Linked DNA regions of Oryzias latipes. The protein of the gene in region 2 purifies or fractionates together with the protein of the main gene of each other region. This does not show direct contact. Links are inferred from orthologs where the notes say so. Each region holds a gene or a part of one and is shown on either strand. Other genes may lie near its edges.

The links. Proteins that work in one complex are often made in the same cells at the same time.
Region 1: the proteins of rnps1 (region 2) and rbm8a purify together in Homo sapiens (co-immunoprecipitation; 4 studies listed by BioGRID and IntAct, with this or other methods). This does not show direct contact. The link is inferred for Oryzias latipes from reciprocal best matches to the Homo sapiens genes RNPS1 and RBM8A.
Region 3: the proteins of rnps1 (region 2) and RNA-binding protein 25 purify together in Homo sapiens (affinity purification with mass spectrometry; 3 studies listed by BioGRID and IntAct, with this or other methods). This does not show direct contact. The link is inferred for Oryzias latipes from reciprocal best matches to the Homo sapiens genes RNPS1 and RBM25.
Region 4: the proteins of rnps1 (region 2) and pip4k2b purify together in Homo sapiens (co-immunoprecipitation; 3 studies listed by BioGRID and IntAct, with this or other methods). This does not show direct contact. The link is inferred for Oryzias latipes from reciprocal best matches to the Homo sapiens genes RNPS1 and PIP4K2B.

The regions. Positions count from the first base shown.
Region 1 is NC_019874.2:29,126,391-29,130,964, reverse strand, and holds the start of rbm8a (RNA-binding protein 8A), read right to left. Parts: upstream 2,916-4,574; 5' UTR 2,908-2,915; coding exon 2,847-2,907; coding exon of another isoform or gene 2,841-2,846; intron 2,327-2,840; coding exon 2,267-2,326; intron 2,188-2,266; coding exon 2,110-2,187; intron 1,544-2,109; coding exon 1,407-1,543; intron 1-1,406.
Region 2 is NC_019866.2:11,024,011-11,028,817, reverse strand, and holds rnps1 (RNA-binding protein with serine-rich domain 1), read left to right. Parts: upstream 1-1,509; 5' UTR 1,510-1,601; coding exon 1,602-1,603; exon of another isoform or gene 1,604-1,670; coding exon of another isoform or gene 1,671-1,672; intron 1,673-2,184; coding exon 2,185-2,319; intron 2,320-2,424; coding exon 2,425-2,601; intron 2,602-2,691; coding exon 2,692-2,797; intron 2,798-3,051; coding exon 3,052-3,205; intron 3,206-3,297; coding exon 3,298-3,439; intron 3,440-3,557; coding exon 3,558-3,663; 3' UTR 3,664-3,947; downstream 3,948-4,807. UniProt on the Homo sapiens protein: Part of pre- and post-splicing multiprotein mRNP complexes. Auxiliary component of the splicing-dependent multiprotein exon junction complex (EJC) deposited at splice junction on mRNAs.
Region 3 is NC_019880.2:1,888,303-1,892,932, forward strand, and holds the start of RNA-binding protein 25, read left to right. Parts: upstream 1-1,715; 5' UTR 1,716-1,912; intron 1,913-2,125; 5' UTR 2,126-2,141; coding exon 2,142-2,247; intron 2,248-4,329; coding exon 4,330-4,379; intron 4,380-4,505; coding exon 4,506-4,630. UniProt on the Homo sapiens protein: RNA-binding protein that acts as a regulator of alternative pre-mRNA splicing. Involved in apoptotic cell death through the regulation of the apoptotic factor BCL2L1 isoform expression.
Region 4 is NC_019859.2:8,441,531-8,446,407, forward strand, and holds the start of pip4k2b (phosphatidylinositol 5-phosphate 4-kinase type-2 beta), read left to right. Parts: upstream 1-1,962; 5' UTR 1,963-2,475; coding exon 2,476-2,619; intron 2,620-4,877. UniProt on the Homo sapiens protein: Participates in the biosynthesis of phosphatidylinositol 4,5-bisphosphate. Preferentially utilizes GTP, rather than ATP, for PI(5)P phosphorylation and its activity reflects changes in direct proportion to the physiological GTP concentration.

The sequences.
Region 1 (4,574 bases), on a different chromosome or scaffold from region 2:
TTGTTTACAGTAAAGTATTAGAAATTGTTTATAGAGTTAAACGTAATTTAGTTCCAAAAAAGACAGACTATTGAAGAGTTGGTCAGTATAATTTAAGGGGTCTTTCTCATTTTGAACAGGTTTAATGTTCGATCTAATGTCAAGACAAGATGTGTTTCAGTTCTTGACGTGAAATAATGGAAGGAATTGAGCGATGAATTAAAATGACGTAATTCTCAGTTAAAAGAAAAAAAGTCTAAAACATATTAAAGGTTACAAAACACAGATGTAGAAGGACTTTGTTTACTTGTCTCCATTTATTAAGGACTGTTTCCTACTTTTTGGTTTGTTAAACTGATTAACTTGGACATTGAAGGACAGGCATATAATAAGCTTCATATGCTTCTGCCTATTTTTTTAATTAATTGTTTATACTGTATGTTAGGTAAACAATGCAAATGACAAACTAAACTAAACCAATAAAACCAAAGCAGACATTTCTAAATACTCCAGTGGAAAAGCCGGGTCTGTTCGGATGAACACAGAACTGATATCCTGCTAACGGAAAACATTTTTTTAGCCCAATTAGGTGAAATGGAATTTTTTTCCAGTTATAAACTGGTTGAAAAACACTGCACCAAAAGAGAAAAACATATTTTTTTTGAGTGAAAATACAGTGACAGTCAGGCTTTAAGTATCCTCAGACTCGTTTTAAAACTGAAAAACAACCCTTTGAAATCTGACAATTATTATAATACAGTTCTGATCACAAAGTGCAGATGTCAGACGGTTTCCTCCTTCACTGAGCAGACCGTGAAGTAACAAACTGCAGAAAGGTCAACCCTCTTCTTCTCACGGCCCCCCAAATGCTTTTCTCATCCATTTTTGTGTCGTGCAGTTAGACCAGAATTATGCCAAAGCTTTTATTTTGGTGGAAAAGTCAAAGACTCAACACTGAGCATTTTAGCCTTTAGTGGCGGCCAAACACCAATAAGACGGAAAGAAAATCCCTCAGTAATAATAAAGCCGAAATAGTTTGTTTTTCATACGACTGTTCTTAAATATCAGCTTCACTTCACAGAAACTAAAGTGCTGCTACAAAAGGGCAGTCCAGGCTCTCTCTTAACCCCTTCACGCAACTGTTCTGAGAACACAACAGCCTTATTTTAGCAACCAACTTTCTTTTCTACAAGTATTATAAAATATATGATTAAATCCTACTGAATGAAATCTTCCACATCATTAATATGATGACTTCCATCCTTCCCTCTGATAATTACTGCCTAAATGCTTGTTTTTAATGTTGATCAAATATTCACTTCTTCCGCTTAGATGTTCATTGGAACATAAGCAACATTTGACATCCAAATGTTGTGTCTTTAAAATACAAAATGTGTTCAAAGAAAAAGGAAATGGTTTAAACTCACCTTCAGATAGCCAGTTCTGCGATCCAGATTAAGATGGAGGTTCTTGATTTCCCCAAACTCTGAGAACTTATCGTGGATGTCTTCCTCTGTGGCCTCCTCGTGCACGCCCGTCACAAACAGGATCCAGCCTTCTACAGCTGCAGAGAGGGGAGGGAACAGGGCATCAGACACCCAAACCCCCCAGTCTCCACACCAAGACAAGCAGATGAGTTTACCTGACCTGCTGGCATTCACGCAGTTTCAAAAGTAAAAGTCTGCATTGTTTCAGAGCAGTTTTTTAGTTTTTGCATAGGTCAAAATTAAAACGCAGCCGTGAAACTGATTTATAACTTTTAAACAATGAACTTTAGGTTAAATTAAATTAGTTATCTGCAGCTGTGATGCAGAGGTAGACCTTCAATCAAAAGTTCAGTTCCTGCCTTGCCTGCCCATGTGTGGACGTGTCTTTTGGGCAAGACACTTAAACCCCACAACGCTCGTGGGGGTTACAGGCTGTGACTGTGCATGGGACTGGGACTTTCAAGCCCTTAGTGGCTTAGTAAAGGTAGAAAAGCACAACATTGACCATTTATTCTATAATCAAATTAAATAAATAAAATAAAAAAAAATACACACAAAGATCTTAGATTTTTTACAATCTAAGTGTGACTACAGCTTGTTAATTTGCTTCTATCTGAACATGAAGGTCACTTGTAACACCTACATCTCTGAGGCCCAGGCTCATCTCCGTCCTGTTCCACAGTATCATAGTCCTCTTTGGCTCTGGACCGGGCCCCATCATCTGGAATCAAAAACTTAGAATCAAAACCAAACCCTAAGAAGTCAAGAAAAATAAAGGGAAAAATGCTTTGAAAGCTCACCTGCACCAAAACCTCGTCCTTTCCTCTTCTTGGCTTTCTCCTTTAACTTGTGGATGCTTTCTGCAAACAGACGAATAAAAGCCTAAGGACGCCGTTTTCAGTTTCCTTTAATTCACAAGAGTTTAGTTTATGAAGTTCTCAAATGGAGTAACTATATGTGTTTTTGGGTTGTTTTTTTAGGAACAATGTGCAATTTTTAAATCGACGTTTTTTCTCTCATCTGCGCAACACTAACAGCATGTAGCCGTTGGCTAACATGGATGCTAGCGCTAGCTTAATAGAAAACAAAACAGCTTTAACGTGCAGAGAAAAATACAGTCCGTTTAAATAATTAACATTTTAAAAGCGGCCCTCGCAAACACAGACGGCTGCACCCCCGCTGAGAGGCTCGCTAAGTGGATGAATGACCGCCTTTCGTTGAGTTAGCTGGATGCTAACACGGCTGCGGCCCGCTAACAAACACGCAGTCTGGGCTGAGCGTGATTCTGACCGCACGTGCGGCTATTTGAATTTCATTATTTGGCTGGCAGGACTGCGGTGCGTCCGCCTCTAATTGTGTAAAACAACGCAATACCGTCACCATCCTCATCCATAGGAAAGTCTTCTCCTCCCGCCTCATGAAGGTCCAACACGTCCGCCATGATGTCTGTTTGACTGAGTACGAACAGCGCATGCGCACGGAGAATCACTAAAGAGTCTGAGTACGTAACTTCCGTAAAGATTTTTTTTTAAACTTTATTGTACAAAACGTAAGTAAGTTTAATACAAAACACAATTTTGCTAAGTAAACTTCAGATATGCCAGGGTAGCATACATATTACAGGAGTTTTAGATAAAAAAAAACATTCAGATTTCAACAACTTTCATACAAACATGCAGCTTTCTGATTAAGACTTTTGGAGATGTTACTGAGATACATTTAAATTTGTTTGATTAATAACACAGGGAAAAAATAGGAGATGAAGAAAATTTGCATTTATTAATATAAAATTAGTCAAATATAATAATAAGATTAATAATGAGTTTTTATTTGAAAATGAAATTTTTGTTATTAATTTTTAGTGCAGAGTTTTATTATAATATTCATGATTAATATCACATGTGTTACTGGTAAAAATGCATAATATTAAACGATAATTTATGTTTTAATAATCATGATTTCTAATTTATCCCTTATGAAATAATTTACATTTATCATCATGAAAACTTTTTATTTTTGCAAAGCATTTTAACTGAAACTGCTTTCATTGGGCTTGAGATGATTGTTTTACGTGGTTTGTGCTTTTTATCTTTTATGTTTTTATATGTATATATATATATATATATATATATATATATATATATATATATTTTAACCTGTGATCTTTGTCTGTGAAAGGTGCTATGCAAATAAAATTTACTTACTTACTCAATCATGATATTAATAAATAATCATGATTTTTTATACTTTAGTGTGGACAATTTAATGCAATATAATTAATGATATATTTGTTATTAATAGCATTGTTAAAATTTCCATGCCATATATTTTCAAGAATTGAAAATTGTTGTTATCTTGGTATTATATTTAGTGTCATCACTGATATAATGAGAACAATGAGAAATGTATACATTTGTTTTAAACATTAGTGTCAACATTCACACAACAAAAATATGATTTAAAATACTTTATTATACTGCAAGGGATAGCATTTCTATTATTAAAATTGTGACTATACTTGTTATTAATATTAGAGTTGCAATTTCTATCATAATTATTATTAGTACATTCTGTGTTAATATTGATGTCAAGGTTTTAGAATCAGAATCATCTTTATTACTAATAAGAGCATGACTGCACATGTAAGGCATTTGACTGTAGTGTTGTCTGCAAACTTCAAGAGTTTCACAGAAGTTTATATTTGTGATTGATACAATATTTGTGATTTACACGACTGTTTACATATTTATTAGATTAATCATTACTTAATTAATTGTAATATTATTTTCATTGCTACAGTCAGAACTTCAGCTTTCTGGGTGAAATAGTTTTTACCATCATCTATTTTTTTATCAGGAGGAGGAATGATTAAAAAAAAAAAAATCTTAACAACTGTCATGCATATAAACAAATAATAATAATAAAAACCTAAAACAGTTAAAATACCCAAGAAAAATTTCAAACGAAACTACAGTAAAACTTTAAAAAAGCCTAAAACTATTTTAACTACACACAACAATTATTCCAAATACACAAAACCCCCTAAATGAAAGTGTTGCATTCAAAGGTTTAACGTTTATCAGGATTTTCCTGAAAAAAAAAAAAAAA
Region 2 (4,807 bases):
AACAAACAAACAAACAAACAAACAAACAAACAAGTTGTCTGTGACAAAGAAAACATTGTCAAAATGACTATAAAATTCTGCTTTTGACAGACACTTCTTTCCTGGGCACTTGTTTATAAACACCCCTCACTTATAATTTATTTATTTGGACTAAGAAATACATCATTTACTAAAACAAATATATATTTTTTGTCATAATAATTTCAACAATAATATGGGTCAGTTCCTTGACAGAAAAGGACATTTGTTTAGAACTGAGGAGTTTAATCTAACATATAGTAATACATATTTTTATGGACTCGAAGTCTAAATGTCAACACCATAAAATAAAGAAGATGAAAAGAGAAAATCAGTTACACCCCTGTTGGAAAATCTTGTTTCAAATTTACTCAGGAGAATAACAAAGTCATATGTGCCTTGTTTCAACGAGATGTTATTTCAGAACATTTTGTTGTCTTTTAGTGAAATACTTTTGTCTCTGACTTGCTATGGAAAGAACTTTCATTGCATCAGAAATAGTTGATTAATGACAAGATGAGCGATATCTCCTCTCAATTTCTGCACAGAATAATACTAGTCAAGATATTTAACATTGTAAAATATATTAAAGTTTGTTAACATTCTGTGAAAGAAAACCCAAAAACTCAGTCACCTACTTTGGAATTGTAATATTTATTAAAAATCTTTTGATTAGACTGTACATATTTAAAAAATTGCAACAATAACTCAAAATGCGATGCTCCAGTGCTGTGACTATATGTAAGGTCTGCATGGATTTGTATTATAACTTTTTCATTCATCCACACTTGTGTCGTGTATGTTTACAAAAAAAGTTGGCAAGAAAAAAAAAACAACAACGATATATATATATATATATATATATATATATATATATATATCGTTTTAAGATCTGAATTTACTAAATATTAAATTTTTCCAAAATACAAAGAAATCCATTTTAAAATAATGTATGCAGTCTATCCATACAAGGAACTACTATACATATACGTTTTGGTTTTCCAGAAAATAACTGTTCTTTCTGTGACATAAATATAGAAACACTTGATCATCTGTTTTTTTGAATGTATATATGTTAACAGTTTTTGGGAGAATTTCTTTTCTTGTTGCTCCTCAAAGTTTCCCTTTCCTATTTATATTCAATTACAAAAGCAGATCATATTATTTGGAGTAGTTTCTGTTGATAATATATTTGATTTGACATTCAATACTTTATTAATATCTGGGAAATTTTTCATTGATGAGAGCAGATTTTCAAAAACAAAACCATTATTCAATACATTTCATATTGAGATCAGTTTATATTAAAAATCTCTGATATTAATAAAAAGCAAAAATGCAATAAAATGTCTATTTTCATTGAAGATCACGCGTTGTATGAAAATCCCTTGTATTGTAAACTACAATTATATTATTTTTATTTATTTATTTATTTCTATTTTCTTCTTTTTTCTTTTTTTCTGTTGTAGCTTTTGTGTGTGCGTTTGTTTAAAGTTAAAATAAAAAATTACGTAACATCCGCTTTCATCATCACTTCGCGACCTCACACCAGACCGCAAGTGAAGCCATTTTTGGCCGTTGGAATGTAAGATTAACCTTTTTACGTATTTTCGATCTAAATAGCTTTAATAGCGGAACTTGTTGATTTAAACATGTAAGTTCGGAGGCTTTTTTATTTTGCGCGAAAGTTCCTTATAAAGGAAGAAGTCGTTTAACCGCGACGCGGGTGTAGTTTAGTCCCTTGTTGTGCTCAAAAAAAACAACGAGGGAACGAGTCCAAATAGAAGGTTTTTTTTTTTCTGAATGAAAATATTAGTGTAAGGGAAAATATTATGTAATTTACGGTCCTAAACATTTGGAATTAAGCTTAAAATAATTACAATTTATTGTGCACATGTTAAATGTCGGTAAAAAAAAAAAAAACACCGAAACAATTTTGAATTAATTAGATAAAAATGAAATGAAAAAGTTATATATATTCAAGTAATTAACGAGTTAAATTTAATTAATGACCTTTTTGGTGCAAAAAATTTGTATCTAGCACATTTTAAGGCTGTTTCTCTCTATCCAATAAAAACATAAATCACAATCCTTTACATAAACCTAGACATAATCACTTTTTTAGGTTTCTAGGTCTCTAATTTATGTGCTTTCTCGCCACATCAGGGCACCATTACCGATAAAGCGAAAGGAAGATGAAAAGAAAAACAGGGAAAAAGAAAAAATAAAGGAAGGAGACAAGGAAAGGGGTCGCGACAAAGCAAAGAAACGCCGCAGTGCTTCATCAGGCAGCAGCAGCAGGTGAGCTATTTTTTCTTTCTTATATTTAAAAATATAATATAGCATCCTGTCCTGGATGTTCATTCCCAACTAAATCATTGTTTGTTTTTGACCTTCCACATCTAGATCTAGCTCATCCTCCAGCAGCAGCTCTGGTTCTAGCTCTGGTTCTTCAAGTGGTTCCAGCTCCTCTTCCAGTCGCTCCGGATCCTCTAGCTCTCGGTCTTCCTCCTCCTCCAGCTCTTCGGCCTCTCCAAGTCCCAGCCGCAGACGCCATGACAACCGACGCCGTTCACGATCTCCGTCAGTCCATTTTCTCAGACATGAGACAAATATTTATATTGTATCTCAAAAATATTGACAATATTTATTCTGTAATTTTTTATCCTGCAGTTCTAAAACACAGAAGAGAGGAGAAGAAAGAGAACGAAGAAAAAGAAGTCCCACCCCTAAACCCACAAAGGTTCACTTGGGAAGGCTGACCAGGAATGTAACCAAGGCAAGCTAAAAAAACAAACAAAAGCTAAATCTTTGATTTTTAAAAAAAAAATTCTAATTCAATAAAAGCAGATCTTATTTTTCATGATAACTAGTTAGAATGAAATATTCTTTATGTTTATTGTCTGTCAAGATGTGCGCCTAAAACTGCAAGAATTAAATAAAAAGCTAAATATTTTGTTTTTAGTTTTTTTTAATGGAACAATCCTTCACAAAATAATGGTTAAAAACTAAATGTATGTTTCAATTTACTAGGAACACATCCAGGAGATTTTCTCTACATATGGAAAAATTAAAGCGGTTGACATGCCGGTGGAAAGGCTCTTCCCAAACCTGACCAAAGGCTTTGCTTACGTGGAGTTTGAGACCCCTGAAGAAGCCCAGAAAGCTCTTAAACACATGGATGGAGGTAGGAAAGAATCATTTAAGGGGCTGGAGAAATCATATTGACGAACATAAACTTGGTCAGGTAAAAACAAACCTTCCTGATGACTTTTTTAGGTCAGATTGACGGGCAGGAAATCACTGCAGCTGCTGTGCTGACTCAGCTGATCCGTGGTCCTCCACGTAGACTGTCTCCTCCTCGAAGAATGCCGCCACCTCCACCGATGTGGCGCCGCAGCCCACCACGCATGAGAAGAAGGTTATTTAAAAGCTTTCACTTGTACCTTTTTAATATTTTTAACGTTTTATTATGCGGTCCATTGAAACGGAATCTTCTCCCACCTACTGATGCTCGTCCTTTTTTTGTGCCTGTTTAGATCACGCTCCCCAAGGAGGCGCTCGCCACCACGTCGCCGCTCTCGCTCTAGGTCTCCTGGCCGCAGGCGCCATCGCTCTCGTTCAAGCTCAAATTCCTCCAGATAGAAAGTTGTCTTTACTCTAAATACTCGCCGCAGATCAGCTGCAGTTTTCGCATTTCCTGGCTCCTCGGACACAAAGGATCTATATAAATTGCAGTAAATTTAGCTGAGTTCGTAGTGACAAGGAGACGAGAAAAATTCTTTCTTTTTTTTTAAATTTTGTGCTGAAAATTGACTGTAGTTTTTATGTTATGTCTGATGACATCTAACAAGATTTTGTGATTCCTTCATTCGAGTTGATTTTTTTTTTTGAAGAATTTTGAGAATAAAACCTATGAAACATCTTGATTCTGATTTCTGTCATCTTGTGATCCGGCTCAACTATTATTCTGATTTCTAGTCACAAAAATACTTTTAACCCTTATGTGGTGTTCGGGTCTGTGGGACCCGTTTTCATTTTTTATCAAAAGAAAAATGATACAATTAATTAATTTTTCAAACTCAGACTCACTGGCCTTGGCTCATTTTCTGTGAAGAACAGATATCAGAATACATTTTTAATGACCACACACCGTATACCCCCCCCAACACATTTCTATTACATATAAGATGTTCGGGTCCACTGGACCCAGGGCTAATAGAAGTGTGGAAATTGATGTTTTTATGTACCTACACTCTGTCCTCCACCTGTCTGGGCCTGCTGTGTGTGTGTGTGTGTGGGTGTGTGTGTGTGTGTGTGACCAGTGAGAAAGAGAGAGAGAGAGTGGCAGAGAGAGAAAGATTCACTGTAAATGTGAGTTCTGTTTCTGCACCTGCGGTTCCCGCACAAGGTTGCAACATTGTTAGAATAATTCAAGCATCAACTCTGTTTGCTCTCGTTCTCCCGCACATTTGATCATTTGACTTTCTTGCGGGAATCTTTAATATCTCACATAGCAGATAAAGATCTGCTACAAATTGGAGGCGGGACACTATAAATATAGCTTTGCCAGTGTGGTTTCTCATCACAACTGATCAAAATGGCCAAAAGACTTTCTGCGCAGAGGGCCCTGGAATTGATTTTAGAAGAGAGAGACGTTTTCGATGATGATGTAGAGGGAGACGATTCAGAAGAGGAGGTTTCAGAATTGGAGGATCACATTTCTGAAAATTCAGAGTCTGACAGTGACTCTGGAGAAGATGATTAGATTGGGGCGGCCGTGGTGCAG
Region 3 (4,630 bases), on a different chromosome or scaffold from region 2:
GGAGCGGCCGAAGAGGTGGGTTCGCGTTGTGGGCGTGGCCTGTCAACCGTTCGGGGCCCAATGGCCCCGAAGGAAAGAAAGCGGTACCGGCGCGCGTGAAGCTACACAAGTGGAAAATTCCACATAAGGTGTTCAGCAGGTGTCAATCCCGACCAAAGCAGAACAGACACACACACCAACACACACACACACACACACACACACATTAACACACCTACACACCCTAATATACCCAAACACACACTAACACCTGAACGCACACCAAAATAGACAACCACCGACACCAACATACACACAAACACTTACACACACACCACCTCACACCCACTTAAAAACAGACACACACTTGAACACACTCACGAAACCTCAAACACACACACAGAAGCAAATACACACTCAAGTTCACGCACAGAAACACACAAACTCACGCACACTCAGGGATACAGTCAAACCTATCAACAAACTTGCATAACCTCGCACAAAAAAACAAACGCATGCGCTCAAATACTCACACACTACACTCACACACAAAGACACAAACACACACATGGGGTTGAATCACAAACTTAGTTTACTGTATTTGTGTCATTCCTGTAGCTGCTGGCAGAACAGAGTCTGAAAACATATTAAAGCACTGATTGTGTAACACTCATCAAAGACAAAAATACAAAATAAATTACTTTAAAAATAGGTTTTAGTGTTTGTGTTGAATTATTCCTCATAATTCTAGCTGCTGAAAACCGTAGAATGTCAATAAAATGACATTTCTAGAATACAGAAGAAAGTGGATTTGAGCAACAACTGTTTCGCTGCTGAGCTCATGTTAGACTGACGCAGCTGCAAACAGTAACGGCGATGGACGTTCACATCTTGCTCCAGGACACAGGTTCGAAATCAATTTCCAAAGGCCAAAGTGTGGATTTTGGCGCCACCGAGCGGCGGAAAATATGAACTGCTGAGATTTTTTTTCTTATCTGCACCATCGTATTTTTCCCTGGATCTCTTCTGTAAGGCAAACCAGAGTTCGCTCTCATTTCTAACGTCTTGGTGGTGTGTAGTGGGCAGCACAATCACTACAATGAAAGGTTCAAATCCCAGCTGGATTTTTTTTCTGTGTAGTTTCCTGTACTTGAGGGTTTTTTCCGACCTTTTTAGTCCAAAAAACATGGTCAGAGTTTTTGTTGTTGTTGGTTTAGTACTGCAGCATTTGCCAAGGTCCAGCTTTTTGTTATCCATCTGACCGACAAATTTGTCAATGACAATAAAGGCGGACCAGAGTAGCTACCTTGTGGAACTCCAAACTAAGCCATTTTTTTTTCAATTTCTCCTGTATGCTCCCCCAGTGAGCCAGCTTGAGTTATCATTCTATCCAGACATTTATTTAAAAAAAATGGCTAATTTAATTACGGAGCTTTTTTCTAGTATTTCTAGTATTTAAAGATCCTAAATTGCTTTTTCAGTTATAATTTTGGAAAATCTTTTATTTCTACATGAATTATCCTTTTATTTCACATACTCTCAGTTTGAATTAGAATGAAGTCTCTATTAAAGGACATTGACATAACTATGTTTGTATTTTTTGTTAAATGAAAAATTAAATAAAACAAATCCAACAGAATTAAGGCAAATTTGACGATTTTAAAGTGTTTGATGCAGGAGCTGCTGCCTGTAAGACCTCACTCAGGGTATTAAGAAAAAAACAACCCGAGCTGAACCCAGATGTCCCATAATCCTTTTCGGAAAGAATAGCTCCGTTAGCCTCGAACCACGGGAGCTCCCGCAGTGAACCGGTGTCTAATTTAGCCTGCTAATTCTCCCGGAATCGGTCCTTTTGCTGCATTTAATGGGTTTTTTACGAGGATAATCAGCCGTGTTAGCCGTGTCCTCTTTTTAACGGAATACTTGACTGAAGGTGGGTGAGCGCGTTCTTCATGACCGCCGATGCTAACGTCTAGCAGCAAGGCCGGACTTAGCCGTCTGAGGCTAGCAGTTTACAAGCTAGCTAGTCTTTTAATCTCATCGATTTGTCAGTTTATTCTGTCAGTTTGAGCTGGTCGCTGTGACGGTGACCAGTGGAAGAAGCTCCACTCCTTCCCGCTAACCTCCTCTTGTCTCGGTCTTGCAGGCGGTCTCCTCCAGGAATGTCTTACCCGCCTCCGATGAACCGGCCGCAGGTCGGCCTCCCCCAGCTTCCCCCAGGGATCCCCCCGCCGCAGTACGGAGGCTTCGCCCCTCCAGTTCCACCAGGTACCGAGAACCGCCGCACACCTGTGACCCCCCCCCCCCCCCCAGCTTGTGTTGGATCTGGAGTCAAGCATCGCGTTGGGAAGCACTGCAGTTCACCACGTGATTTGACGGGGAGATGAATGAAATTCGATAATTGGTAGATTTAGATGAACTTGAATAAAAATCCACACCGTTTTTTGTGGTGGTAGCCGTCATAAATGCTTTATTCATGCTGGGATTTCAGTTTTGACAGGAGCCTCAGATCTGTAGACATGCGCATTTGCCCCCCTGCCTGTAGGCATCCATATTATAAGCAATGTTGTTCACCTGATTCCAGGTGAAAAAATCAGGTAAGAATGGAGGCTAATTTGGGAAAAAGGAAATCCATTCAAATCCATTGATGTTGAAATTCCTCACGGGAGGCTAAACTACTAAACATTGAAGTAGAAGCTCACCGTTAACCTTTAGAGACCCCCTCCCATCAAACTGGTGTTTTTAACATGTTGTAGCATTTTTCTGACATATTTAAAGAAACTTAAACTCATGATTGCATTTCTGAGTATTTCTCTATTCAAATTATTGTGAATTAGGAACAGATTAAAAAATGCTCTTTGCAAAGGTGATGTAGAAAATACGCTGGGCGGAGCCACAAGCTCCATATTTACAGGTGTAGGTTGATATTGCTCGCCATTTTTGTTGCACCGCCCGTGTTAGCATGGGGTTGTGAGGCGCTGTAAGCTAGCAGGAGAGCTTGTAAACAGATGGGTGGCGGGAAGTGTGTGGGGGGTGAATTTCTATTGAACTCCTGTCGCTCTGCAGAAACTATGTCCTAGCAATGACACAACTAAAAGATTTCTTTTATTTTGAAGTTGAAGACTCTTCTTCGGTTTCCTCTCTGGATCTTTTCCTCCGTTTGTTTTTTATTAACTTTGCTGTCTTCGGGCATTAAATTTAGGATTGGAGGCTTTAAGAAAGTACCAAATGTATTTGACACGTGACCGAGGAGAACGTCTTGATATGCAGTAAAGCATAAAGGGATGTGGTGCACAGAATCCTATAGTTTTCCAAAATAAAACTTCCTTCAGAATGAATAAATCCTCCAAACAGAAATAAATTAATAGTAATAACTGTAATAACTTTCTGTAAGTTTTTTGGTTTTGTTTTCTGTGTCTGTTGTCCCGTACCAAGTGACCCACAGGTTTAGAAGCTGCTGGGTTTTTTAAATTCTTTCCATTTTTATTTGTATTTTCTGAACCAGTAGAAGTGTAATCATTCATTTTAATGCTGCATTTCATATCACAATTTGTGGCTGACGATATGTTTATATTCAATATTTGTTCATTCTGAACGCTCCGGTTCACTGAGCTAAAGTAGATCCAGATCCTCTTCATCCAAACTTCCAGACAGAAATTCCTGCTACTGAACAGTTTTCCAGATTCTTGGATTTCTTCCAGATCATCAAGTGGAAATGAAATCTGTGTCCAAACAAACAAGTAAACTAGAATGAATGTCAAATCCATTCACATGTTAGTTTCCTAAATTTCACCACTGTTGTTTTTCCACATCCAAAGAATCCAAAGGGAACATTCTTAGAACATTCTAGCACATTAGACATGTTGTTAATGACAACATGTCATTAACATTCCGTGTTAATGACATCACAAATGTGTTGTCCGCTGTGATTGGTCGATTAAACCTTCTAGTAAAATAAACCGGCTGTACCTCAATCCAAATAGTATTTGATCTCATTTTGAAACCATTTTATAACAGTGTGGGCCAATTCCATTAACTCTGTCTGGTTGGAATCATAAATCAATTCACGGATTCATCGTTAAAGTCCAGTTGTGTTTGAGGCTCACCGTGGATCACTGTCTTCATGAGGACTGGATTCCCATAGTTTGAGGGGAAACAGGTTTCTGTCTGCCTCTGTCTCCTCTGAAGGGCCTCTTTGTCTTAGATGTGTGAGCGTCCGCTCCACCCTGTTGGCTTTACACTCACAGCTTGGAACTGAGGGAACTTTCTGGGTGAAACAGTCCTAGAAGTTAGGATTCAGTGTGGATGAAAGCAAAATCTACACCAACCTTTTCCCTCTGCTGTTTCCAGGTACTCCCATGATCCCAGTTCACATGGGCGTAGTGGCCCCCGCGCCCACAGTGAGTCTGAAACCAGAGTTTTTACCACATTAACCCGCAGCTCCTCCGTGTGACCCGCCGTCACCGCCGTCTTTATGGCATCCACAGTTGATGCGTTCGTCTCTAAACCTTGCATTGCTGTCGCAGGTTCTGGTTCCAACTGCGGTCACCATTACCCAGAAGCCCATAGCTGCAAAGAAGGAGCACGGCATGGGGCGGGCCAGGGATGCGGACGACGGCGCGGGCCCCACCACCACCGTGTTTGTGGGGAA
Region 4 (4,877 bases), on a different chromosome or scaffold from region 2:
ATCCTGGGTAATAGGAGCAGAAAATAAAAAAGAACCTTCAGAAATACATAACAGACTTCCAGACTTTGACTCTAGATGCATTATAAATGTACAAAAAAGCATTGCAAAAGCACATTTACAGCGGCGTCAATCAATATGTGTCATCATATATTCTTAGTCAATCTTAGTCAACATGAAATATGGGTTATTGGATCAAAAAAAAAGGTTAAAAACTGAAAAGGAAAGTTTTAGATCTTTAGCCAAAACTGTAAAGGTGCAGCTTTTGCAGTAAGTGTTTGCACAACAAATAAGCCATAACATCTCCCAAGTCCACACATAAACAGCGACGGTTTACCAAACACGAATTTACAGCATGAAAGCAGCACAAACTTTACTCAGTGCATCCGAGTTTTATCATAGGCGATCAGTGAATCACCTTATTTTCTATGTTGAATCCACAAAAAACTCAGATTATTGACTCACCTTTTAATAAAAAAAAGGTCCAGTTCATACTCTCTGTAGAGGAGAGAATTAACAAAGCAGCAGAGCTTTTTTTTATATATATATGGTGAATTGAGACATTCTTTTACCAAAAAATCTCTGCCATTTACTTCAATCCTATACTATAGGGCCTATTGTCTAAACACCCAGAAGTGCGCTGTTAACTCTTGGTTGTCACCAGAGGTGTGCCAGGTGTGTCAGTCACTCCCAATCAACAGGGATTCATTGTTTCCTGTTCTTGACTGCATTTAAAGGGCTTATACCATGAAAATCAATTTTTTGAGGTTTTAAGTGTATTATAATGTCCATTCCTTACAAAAAGAAACCCCAAAGTGACATTTGATCAGTTCAGGCATTTCTGTATGGAAGCATATCTGTCTCATAATTCAAAATTAAAAGTCAAGTTCAGCAGATTGATTTTTCATTTTATTTTTGATTCAACGAACACAGCTCTATTGTGAAAATGAAAAAGCATTTTGGGTATTGACTTTCATTTTGAATTATGAGACAGATAGGCTTCCATATTTTTTATCATGTTTACTCCTGCTAGCAGACACATCGCAGCTCGCCAACATCACCAACTTGAAGTCATTTCCTCAACTTGAGCTGCCAATTAAAATCCTCATATTTTCAGGTTTGTCACAATCCAAATGGTCTCGGTCAAATGGTAACGTTTCAGAGTTTATTCCTGTCCAGTTGTGACACTTCGTCACCTTTTGCACTCACGGCACAACCCTCATGTTCCGGAGACCGGGCATCGGTGAGAGTGCTGTAGGTCAGCTCTGCAAACAGACTGAGGTTCTCTGGCATGGAATAAAGGCCCTACAAGTATCTGTTTGTAACCATCAAAACCCCATCAAATCTATTCTATGCAAGCGGAACAGAAGCATTGAAAAAGATGTACAGAGAGAGAATAAAACTAAAACAGTGATAAACAGTAAATTCCTCTTTGTTTTCATCTGTTTATGCTGGCTAGCAGGGTTCTTTTTCAAAATCACATCTCCACCATTATTAAATGGACGTCTGAATCAAGCAACATGTAATTTTAGTTGAAAAACTTTTTTTTTAAATCGAATTCTGTCGCTCACATTAATATTTTGTTGTTGTCAGATATTTTTTATAATGACTCACTTTACATTTGGTTATTTAGTTGAAATTTGTATTCAGGGCAACTAACAGGTTTTTACATTAGGTTAGTTGTTGTGTATCTAACTTCATGTAAAGCACTTTGAAATGCTACTGTACGCAAAAGATGTTCTACACAGACTGGACATGTTTAACCTGTACAAAATAAAAGCATAATATATAAAATGTATGAATACACTTGACAAAGGTTTCTTGTTTTTGTCATCTGATTACTTAATCCAGATTACATTTAATCTGTGCTGCCCTGCTCTGTTGAACGTGCCACTCTGTGAAAAATCCATGCAGTTCTCACAACAACCCGTAGGGGGCGCTGTTTACCGTGAAATGCGGTGCAGGCGCCATCTTGAGGGAGACCCGATCGCAGCGTTCGGCTGGCGGCGGCGCCCGACGGCAGTCTCCGGGCACACCATGAGGGGATTACTCGCCTGCGTTTAAAACGGAACAGTTACGTTTTTCCTTTTAGTTTTTCTTTTCTTTTTTTAAAAAAATTCTCTGTCCAGAGGAAGCGAGGCACCGCACGGTGGCAGCTCTGCGCCACACACAGGCCGCGATTTCATCAGAAAGTCGCGCGGCTGCGCTGTAGCCCGATGGCCGGTTAGCCGCTCTCTGGACTCCACCGCGGCCTGCTCGGGCGGAGGAAGGGTGGTGACGGAGCAAAATGCTCCACCGTTGACTCCCATCAACGCAGCCAGCCCACAGACGCACCGAGAGTCGGTCCACGATGCACTTAGCGAGCTTTCCACGCTCGTAACGTCTCCGTTTTACACATTTAGATAGTTTTTTCCTTGTTTCCGTTGTTTTTATTTTTTATTTTGAAATTGTTTTTGAGAGCGCCGTCTGAACGCAGACATGTCAGCCAACTGCACCAGCGCAGCGGCCGCCAGCGCCAGCAAAACCAAGACGAAAAAGAAGCATTTTATAGGGCAGAAAGTGAAGTTATTCCGCGCGAGCGAGCCCATCCTCAGCGTTTTGATGTGGGGAGTCAACCACACGGTGAGTCGGAGCATCCTCCCGTTGTTTTGATTTTCTAGCTTTCTTGCTAACCTGTTAGCCAGCTGCCCTCATCTGTCAAAGCGGCTTTTCTGTCATCAATTGATCCTTGCGGGTCGTGATTGCTTCTGTTTGTCGTGGTTAGCTAGCAGCTGTTATGTGAAGCTGCTGTTATCTTATTTATTTATTTATTATTTGGGGGACAGATTCATGTTGGGATCTATAGATCCTCTCCGTAAATCAGATCAACTTCTATAACTGACTTTAATCGTTGGCAATTTAGGCTCGTGGCTGTGGTGGTGGAGGGGATTATCTGCTGTCATAGATTATGGATTGAGAGGTGTTTCGGTTGCCAAGCTGCCGTGATCTGCTGCTGCAGGCGTGAGGAGGGGCGTGTCAGGCAGCAGCAGCAGCTTTCCCCGGATTGTGACCGGGGGGGAGGCGGCGATCTCCAGCCGTTTGTCGCAGCCTTTCTTTATAAATAGAGCTGAAAATGTATCGCGTCTGGCCGAAGCTTCGTGCGGCTATGAAAAGGTTTCGGGTTGGGTGATGGAGTCTGCCGAACCTGCACGAGTCTGATTGATGCGCGGAAAGCTGGCGGCGAGCTGCGCGCGCGCGCCCGGATTACCAAGCCGACCTATTTGGCCAGAGCCCAGGAGCTCATGTTCAAGCGACCCCAGAGGTGAAATATGTTTCAATCTGAGACGCGGAATGATGGAAATGACCGCAGAGATGTTGAACGAAGACCTGGAGAAGCAGAATGACCAGATATGAAACCAAACTGTGACACAGATTCACACAACTGCTGCTTAAAACACGGATTTACAGCCAAACCCAACATTAAAACACTAAATCCCTGTGAATTACAGACAAATACGTTTAATAAAAAGAAAAAAACCGTTGGCAATCAATGCAACCACTGAAATGTCTTTACAATTTCTGGTAGAATCACTGGTAGACGACTAGATCCATGCACGCCTGTGTTTTCCTCGTCTGGCTCAAAAATGTACGGCTGGATAGCTCCAAGATAGCTCGCCTTTGCTGTTACACTGGTAATGTTATGTAGGGGGGACTGTAAGCTAGCAGGAGAGAGTGTAAACGGAGAGCTCTCAGTTAAATTTGATGGGAAGGGCGGCTGGGGTTGCTCCACACCACACAACGGTTCCACCCACAACTCAGAGGTGAATTTCTGATGAACTCCTGTCATTCTGCAGAAACTAATTTAATTTAAACACCATAATCCTAATTAAAAGACAACACTTTTACAAAAGATGATCGGAGTGAGACTTTTATTGATTGGTTTGACAGATTCAAGCAAGTTCTTCATAATACTTAAATTAGAAACAACAGTTTGATGCATTTTAATAGATTACAATAAATGAAACTAGACTAACATGCAGCTGTTTAGCAGTGCGTGATTCTTCAGGAGTTGCATCAGAACACAGATGGACTTGAGATGGAAGTACAGTAATTGTATGATTAGCTTCTGAAAAGACAATGCTCCAGTATGTGGAATAACGTTCAATAGAGATGCCACAATTCCCGGTTTCCCACCAAATTGTATGTCACACCACTAAACCGAATCACGAGGGGAGCTATGGTTCCATCCCTACTGCATAGCAGTATGTAGAAAGTGACAAACACGTGTGTAAGAAGGGTTTATTATTTATTGTTTTAATACATTACACCAGGCTTAGTAAAAGACAACTCAAAGGTTCTTATTCATTGTTAGTGTCTTATTAGCAAATTCTAAAGATTTATCCAACTTTTTAGTTGTTATGTAAAAGACAAAACTGCCGCCCAAAAATCGGGGATTGAAGCGCATGAAGCGCATTTTGGGGAAAGGGAACCGTTCAAGCAGACAGACAAAGTTATTAAATCAGATTTTCTGAAATTGAACACTTTAGCACAGCATGCCCTTGTGTTGAACTTGTGTCACTCCAATTGTCCCGATCAGACAGCGTTGTATGAGTTCCAACTGTGTAATCATCAAACCGGATCAGTTGGTCAGGATCCCTGTGATCCCATTGGATCAGTTAGTTTGAGAGCAAAGGCGTCTGCCAAAGTTGGTCTCGAGTCCTCCACTAAGGTCGGAGTTCAGGGCTTTTTTGTGTCCTGGTGTTCTCAACGTGGGTTCAGGTTTTCATGGATGTTTGTGGTTTGATCCGTCTTTGCTGTTGGGGAGCAGAGAAGAAGAGCATTTTGGTCGATGAAGCAGCTCCTCTTTGACCAGCTCTGTGGTGGAACCGGTCAGGGTCTGG